Linked DNA regions of Oryzias latipes. The protein of the gene in region 1 purifies or fractionates together with the protein of each later gene. This does not show direct contact. Links are inferred from orthologs where the notes say so. Each region holds a gene or a part of one and is shown on either strand. Other genes may lie near its edges.

Evidence for each region.
Region 2: the proteins of slf1 (region 1) and rad18 purify together in Homo sapiens (affinity purification with mass spectrometry; 4 studies listed by BioGRID and IntAct, with this or other methods). This does not show direct contact. The link is inferred for Oryzias latipes from reciprocal best matches to the Homo sapiens genes SLF1 and RAD18.

Annotation. Positions count from the first base shown.
Region 1 is NC_019867.2:15,910,496-15,914,414, reverse strand, and holds the start of slf1 (SMC5-SMC6 complex localization factor protein 1), read right to left. Parts: upstream 2,886-3,919; 5' UTR 2,485-2,885; intron 1,336-2,484; 5' UTR 1,335-1,335; coding exon 1,227-1,334; intron 413-1,226; coding exon 334-412; intron 229-333; coding exon 3-228; intron 1-2. UniProt on the Homo sapiens protein: Plays a role in the DNA damage response (DDR) pathway by regulating postreplication repair of UV-damaged DNA and genomic stability maintenance.
Region 2 is NC_019863.2:2,756,629-2,760,518, reverse strand, and holds the start of rad18 (E3 ubiquitin-protein ligase RAD18), read right to left. Parts: upstream 3,093-3,890; 5' UTR 2,980-3,092; coding exon 2,929-2,979; intron 1-2,928. UniProt on the Homo sapiens protein: E3 ubiquitin-protein ligase involved in postreplication repair of UV-damaged DNA. Postreplication repair functions in gap-filling of a daughter strand on replication of damaged DNA.

The DNA.
Region 1 (3,919 bases):
ACCGTTTGAACATGGCTCTTTTGCGGGGCTCTTGAACCATAAGGAGTACTCTCCAGCCTTGGAAAGCCCCCGTCATTCTGCCAGTGGCCACCTTTTCCCTCCACTGCCTGACGGGGTAGAAGGCAGCTGAGGAGGCCGTGGAAATGGCCACTTCGTAGGATCGCTCCGGCAGCCAGGAGCCATTCTTAACACTATCCACAACATAGTCCAGTGTCACAACCCACTTTCCTGGTGGGAGAGAAGTGGGTGTTTTAATAAAAGGTGCTAGTTTGATCAAAAGCTAAAAAGAATAAATAAAAAATAAAATCAAGCATTACAATGATTATAACTCACCTGCAGCACATGCAGCCAGAAATTTCTCACTGGGGGAAACCTGGGGTGTTATGAGATGAGTGATGCCATTCTTGTATACCTGGAAACAAATGGCTGCATTAGAATTGAAAGTGATCGAATGAGAGGAAAACATGCGTAAATAATAGTAATATTTATTTGAGTCGAATTTAATTCGAAGCATAAAATCCAAAAATGTTTCCTTAACCTTATTTCAAACAATTCATGTGGAAAAAATACAAAACAACATGTTTTAATGTCAAAATAATTCTCCCAAACAATATCTAAATGAGGAATAAATACACAAATGAAGATACTGGTCAAGACACACTGGCTGTTTTTCTCATTTTTCTTGTTGTACACATTTGATCTGCATTCTCTTTCCATTAAAGTATACATTTCTACAAATAGTCCTTTGTAACTCTTTGGTATTAAGGCCTTTTTTGCATTATGATATGTTGTAAGTTTTTTTGGTCTGTCTTCCTCCTTTTTCCCTTATCCCAGTTGCAAATCTATTATTTTTTTCCTTAAAACAAATGTTCCTGTCCCTTCAGACCTCAACCAGTCACATCTTAAGTCTAGCTCTGCTGGACGTTTCTTCTTAATCTTTCACTTAGAGAGGTTTCCTCTCAGTATAAGTATGGGAAGAATGCAAAACTCTGATGAGTCACATATGCAGGAAATTTTAAATTCACTTTAGAGAATTTGGGTTTATTAGGAAGACGTGGCCTAAACTGGATTAAGATAACTCTAAATAACTCAGCTCACTTTGATGTTTATTGTCTTTTGAGTCGTACCTTTATTTATAAAGGACCACTTACCACTGTGTAAATTGGTACTTTGTAAATACACTGTGTAAATAAACTACATTGAGTTGAGCTGGAAACACTACTTACAGAGCCACCAATGTATTTTCCTCCCAGCTGTTGAATCCCTTTCACCAAAACTCTCTTCTTGTCACGGTTTTTTATGCCAGAGATCTGGAAAATCTTGCACCTTTCCATCCTGAAAGTAAATAAATAAATGAATAAGCCGAATATAGCCTAACGTATTTAAGATGTTATGACAGATAAACTGGTTTCGACCATTTGTTGGAAAACACTGTAAACTGCTTCTTGTTTGTCCACATGAGTTACACAGATAGGTTGACACTACAAGAAAAACCAGAAGGGGTACTTTGAACCAAGCATGCCACTATTATCACAGGTGTCAGTTAACTGTCATTGAGACAACTTCAATATATTTTCAAAATTATTTCTTTCAACATGTCGGGCAGCAGAATAGTCAATTTTTAAATATTTGCTTAAAAAAATTAGCAAAGAATGTAGCTTGAAAACTAAAACTAGTTCAATCCATTTTCTCCATGCAGGAAGTGGTATCTGAAATTCAGAAAGGAAATCATATTGTGTTATATACAGTAATACATATATTATGTGACTTCATAAACATTTTTACAGATGACTTCTCTGAACATTTATTTCTATTTATGCATCAATAGCATGAATGACATTTGACATTCAGACAAATTGTTTCTGCTCCAAGACTGGTACTGTCTTGAATTGAATTCTGTTGTACAGTATGTTTAAATACAATAAGTGTTGTTTTCAAGGAAAGTTGGAACATGAGAAAAAGGTTTAAGTAAAATAACAGTACGGACAGATACACTTGCAGGTTTACACCTGAAACTAAAGACACATTGACAAGTCTATGCACTTATTGGTATGTATGCAGTCAAAAATAAGTAAATAAATCTAATTCTACTGGTAGTTTCTAATTTAAAATACAAATAAAGCCCACAAAAAATCTGCTGTGGACACATTCAATCACTCTCATAAAATAGTGACATTCATCAGTGTTCTTTTTCCTGTGATTTAACAGCTAAAGAGAAATCAATTCCAATAGATTTTGTGAATATGTGATATAGTAAAACAGAATCTTAACCTGCTAGTAGTGCTAAACATGTCGACTGTACCATTTTCAAATGCTGAGGGTGTTTCGTCAAACTGACGTTTTTGGAATAGTCGAACATGTTCTTTAAAAAAAAACTTAGCTCTTCGGAGTCACTAAATTTACAGGATTATTGTAATTATTTTCTGGGTTATTTAGTATGAATTTGTTAACGAATTTGAAAAGGGTGGTTAAAGAGTGCTTTACCTTCCTCATTCCCAACTGATGATGACTTCTCATGTCATGGCGCGCCAAAAAAACTCAGCCACACAGGCGACAAGCTGTTAAAGCTGGATGTGGACAACTATGTCGTAGCGAAAATATCCAGCAATATGGTAAACTTCCGTAACAGAGATGCAAATAAAGTACTTAAAGATAATATTGGCTTAAGAACATTTCTATTTGAATCTTTCAACCACTACACCGCTTAAGCAGAGTCACAGCTTCACGGAAAAGCCAACTACTTAAGATGGGGGAAATTCGTCCTTACGATATTTTTTCGCACAACAAAAAACAATATTTACAGGAAGAAATTAAGAAAAAAATCAAATTTGAACACAAATTTTATATTCAACGTATAAGTAAACTAAATAAAACAAGGACATTGTCGTGTTTTTTTTTACTTCTTTCCCGACTGGTTTACTTTTAGTTGGTATTTCCCATGGAGCGGAAGTTTTCATCGAGCTACTTCCAGGTTGTTGCCACGGACGCTTTTTGTTCCCGGAACTAACCAAAATAAATCACTGACCGGATAACGGGAGTGTTTGTTCTTTTCTACCACTGAGACTGGTGTGGTGGGTGATTAATTCACGGGGAGGGATGCGGTTTCAATCACAATAACAGATTTTAGTCGAACAGCAACATATTGCAGAAGTTCTAGAAGTTGCTGTAACATTTTGTGCAGCTATATTTACTGCTGGCAGTGGCTGCGTACAAATATCCACTTAACACGACTGAAGATTCTTATGGATTAACAAGGCATGGAATAACAACTAGCGGGTAAGAAAAAAGGTAAGATCTGAAATTAAAAGCAGGGATTAGCGTGAACCGTGGTTTTGTCATTGAGCAGCCTAAACATAACTCGTGTTGTTTTCATTGGGGCTCATTAGTGACGTGTGCGCGTCTTCTGGTTAGGCGCAAGAGGTGTCACGTGGTCAAGCAGCCCTAGGTTGGACTGATTTACCGGAAAAAATCTGAACAATTCAATCAGTCCTCAATAACCAGTAATGTTGATTTGATTAGTGTATACCGGTCTAATTGGCTAATCGGCTACTGGAAGAAAACAAACTATTTCTATTTGTAATGTTTTGAGAAAAGGCCATTTTTGTGTTCAGTAATTTAGTCTCTATCTGTATTAATTCCAAATGTCTTGCTGCTTACATTTCTTGCTTCCATTACTTGAAATAGAGCCGTTTGCCAATGAGGTTGTAGATTATGAAACTGTACATCTGAGTAAAACATGACTCACTGAATATCAGTTGCTACCTATTAAAAAAACAGAATAATCAAAAGAAGTTAACACATTTTGTGCTAAATCTTGCCTCAGTTTATTCATAATATATAGGGAAAACATTATTTTAGATACGTTGTTATAGTCTTTGGCAGTCATTTTAGCCTTTTTAAATATTTAACAGTTGCTTTA
Region 2 (3,890 bases), on another chromosome or scaffold:
AAGAAATCTGAAAATGCTGCGTCTTGACAGGCCTGTAATAAATGGAATAAAGTTGAGGAAACTTGGCTGTGAGTTTAGCAGAGTTTTGGGCAGACATGTGAAAGTGGTTGGATTTCTTGAATCACATAATGAGCGAGGCTACCAAATATGTCTGTGTTAACTGTAAACCCAAAAGTCCCAAAATCGAAAAGCTGGTGTGAATATGCTGATGCAGTGTCCTTGATGTTCAAACTCCCTTCCTTAAGGCATCACAGCAGTCGGATAGTTTCAGCTAACAGCCAGACGCTCCTTGTGTATCACAAATTCTGTGCCTGCAGATCATTTTATCATGTTTTAAAATGTTTCAATGCTCAGATTGAAACGATATACTTAGGAGGAAGTCTGTCCCACTACTTAGTGATGGAAATGTCCAATCCATTAAGAGCTTAGAGAAAGGGAACATCCAACGTTTGATCACAAAATAAGGCAAAGTATTAACCAGCACCATAGAGTCTGAACTTTCAAAGATGCTCCATTTGTAAACCTTTCTAGTAACCTTGTAGCTCCTCTCCACACTCGCTGCAATTTAGAAGTTAGTATAAATGACCAGAAGGAGGCTTTTCAAAGACTTGGTTTGAACAAATCCTATATTTGTCAGTGAGTTGTTTGATCAACATGAAGTACTAGAGTTTTTTTTAATCATCAGTCCCCAGGCAGGTAACTCAAAGCCATAGTAAAACATGAAAGAGTACACTCTAAAACAGTAAATATGAGGTTTGGCTGAGTCCGTGTTGCAGGACTGCTTTGCTTGCAGACAGTCTTTGAGGTAAGTTCTCAGTCTTTTAAGTTAAAATGGTTGGCTAATACTTCCTATATAATGTGGATGTTCTGTAAAGAAATTTCACTTCATTTGCTCTGTCAGTGAATTCAGTCAATCCTTCAGAGACATCCCAAAAGTCCTCAATAATCGGATTCAAAACATATTCAGCAGTTGTGGTTGAACTACCAACCCCTAACTCGAGACTGTAAAATCAGTGAAAACATGTGCAGTTATAGTTATTTTCCTTATGTTTTAAAGAGCCAATATCTCTCGTTATTCAGGAAAACCAATTCAAAATTCCAAAGCAAGTTTTCCTGGAAGGTTTTCTTAAAAAATGATTGTGATCTGAGGTACATTTAACAGCAGCAGGCCTGAAATATCCCTGAAGCCTCTGTGACTTTGTGTCCAATTTTTAAGTGGCAATGAAAACTGGATTTCATTCTAGATTAAAAAGAAAAACAGGCTTTTATGTAGGATATGTAATGAGATATACTACTATATGTGGATAAATTATGGGCGGGAACCTCTAAGATAAAAATGACCATCCTTCTGGAAAAATATCAGTATATTTTCAAATAACAATCCCATTTTTTCCTAGCTTATTCATAAATTCAGGCTGCCTTTCCGAGCTTTTAAGAGTATTAAAATTATTGCATACACAACAATAATCTTTACAAACTCATACTAAATGCCACAATTTTAAAATACCAACAAATTGTTTTTTGCATGAGCTTTTTTAGGTCTTTCCTGAATAATTTATATCTCAACAGACTGTGTAACCCTCCTTTTCATATAATAGCATTTTTCCTTGCCTAGTTGTATCTTACTTGTACTGTATTAACCAAAAAGTTCAAACTGATGTCTAATACACAAATTATAATAGTTAAAATAATTAAGGGATATTTTATAACCATTCATTTTATTCTTTGGTAAGATTTTTTTATATCCTTAAGTAACAATGCAACAATAGTTGCTGTTCTGAAGGAAAGTGCTAATGATGTTTATCTGCAAAAGCTCAACAACCTTATATTTTTATACTGGATTCTAAACATCTGCATTCACTCAGTTATGAGGGTAACTGCCGTAAATTAAGAGAAAATGAGTCGTATCAACAGAAAATATCTTTGGCTTGCCTTATTTACATTTTCAATTCAAGCAACTAGGTTGCAGGAAGATGATCTGACTTGGCCGATGTACTTTTATTTTAAAAAACGTATTTGCTGCAGTCAAAAAACAGAAATTCTTCTTTTTTTAACACCATGATTCCACACAACACCTGGCCTGTCGTTAGTTTACTCAAACCGTAATGGTTACAAAAACAGAAATACTATAGGGTTGTAACGATTAATCCACCTTATTGATCTATAATTCTACAATCCAAACAGATGGATCTGTCTGAGACGAGTTCCTAATGGAATCAACCTATGCTGTCCTAAAACTGTTTCAAAATTAAATAAAACTCAGTACCAGGTATTTGTCTCTGAGTCACACTGACTGGTTGAAGTTTAGTTCTGGATCTATTAGGTCAGTGAATCGTTCAAAATGAACCAATAACAACTATGGATCAGATCAGCAACCACAAATTATGATATGAATTGAATCGTTCAAATAAATCATTACAGCCCTAATAAATACAAATACTAACAAAAGGTGGGCTGATGTTTTAAGGCTCCTGCTGGGTTTTGGCTGGAGAGAAGCACAAGCAGACTCAAAAACTGGATGACAACCCTCTTCTTCAAGTTCGCTCCATCCTCACCTCAAGCGCCAATCTCCAACATCCCGGGCAGGATCAAGCGGGTTTAAAAATTTGGATTACAGTGTACAAACTTTTGTAAAACAATATACGTACACAAATAAATAAGCCCTCTGTGTTTGCGTAATATGAATTGTTGTTGGCGTTACTGCATTAGAACCACAGTTGACCTTACTAACTACTATCAAGCACCGAAAAGTCTATTTTTCCTTGAATCTGCTGCTAAAATGACAGTGAATGAGTGGGTTTTTGAACCAGTGTTGTATAAACTTCGTTTATCCAACGGCAAGTCAATGCCTCTAGCTTGTTCTTGCAGCTAGTCAGCATCTAACAAACCCGGTTTATTTTAAGCACCACAACAGAAGCGATATCTTACTTTCAAACATGCAAGACTTGCTGGTAGATCCGCTTCGATGTGATGGGCCATACTTCAGAACTAACGTTCATTTGTCGAGTCTGTTTATGTTGAAATTAGCTAAAGGCGTTTGTTTCTACTCTGCAGTCCCGCTCTAAAGATCGACATTGACGTCACAGCGGAACTTCCGCGGTGCGTTCAGGGCCGTCCGGTTTCAGGTCTCGACATAAAAAAGAGTCGCATTGATCAGTATTTTATTAAACCCTTGTGCTATCTTAGATGACCCCACCCTTACATTGACGTGTTCTCCCTACCATGACAAAGGTGGATAAAGGTGGAAAGATTTCATGTAATCCATGGACACCAGTGAGGATCGAAAAAAGAAAAAAAGGTTTAGTGCACTGTCTAGTGGGTCCAGATGACCCAACTCCCAATGTTAAAGTGCTAAGGGTTAATTTCATTTATGAAGTTTAATTTTATCAAAAACACAAGTTTTACACACCATTTATAAAAATTAACCTTTTTTTTCAACCAAGTATCATTCTTAAAGTATGCTGGGGAAATAATCAACAGATCCCCCAACCCCCGTTACCTTAAAGACCCATTCCGATTAAAATCCTGTTTTTGGTGTTTTTAACGTGTTCTTGTGCCATTTTTTCTCATGGTGAGGGACATTTAGAGAAAACTAAGCTTAAAATTGCATTTCTGAGTGTTTCTTTATTCAAATCGGTGTGAATGAGGAGCAGACGGAAAAAAAGGTCACTTGTCTATAGCTGCGTTTACATGGGCAAAAGTAATCGGAAAGAACGCCTGATCGGAAGGAAAATGCGTCATGTAAACGCGCCGTTCGGAATAGTGTGCCCCAATCAGACTCGTTCGGATCAAAATTTCTCTTCGATCGAGATAGGTGGGTTAGGCCGATCGTTTATTCGATCGTTGATCATGTAAACGGTCATTCCGATCGTGTGTCACTACTGCTCTGG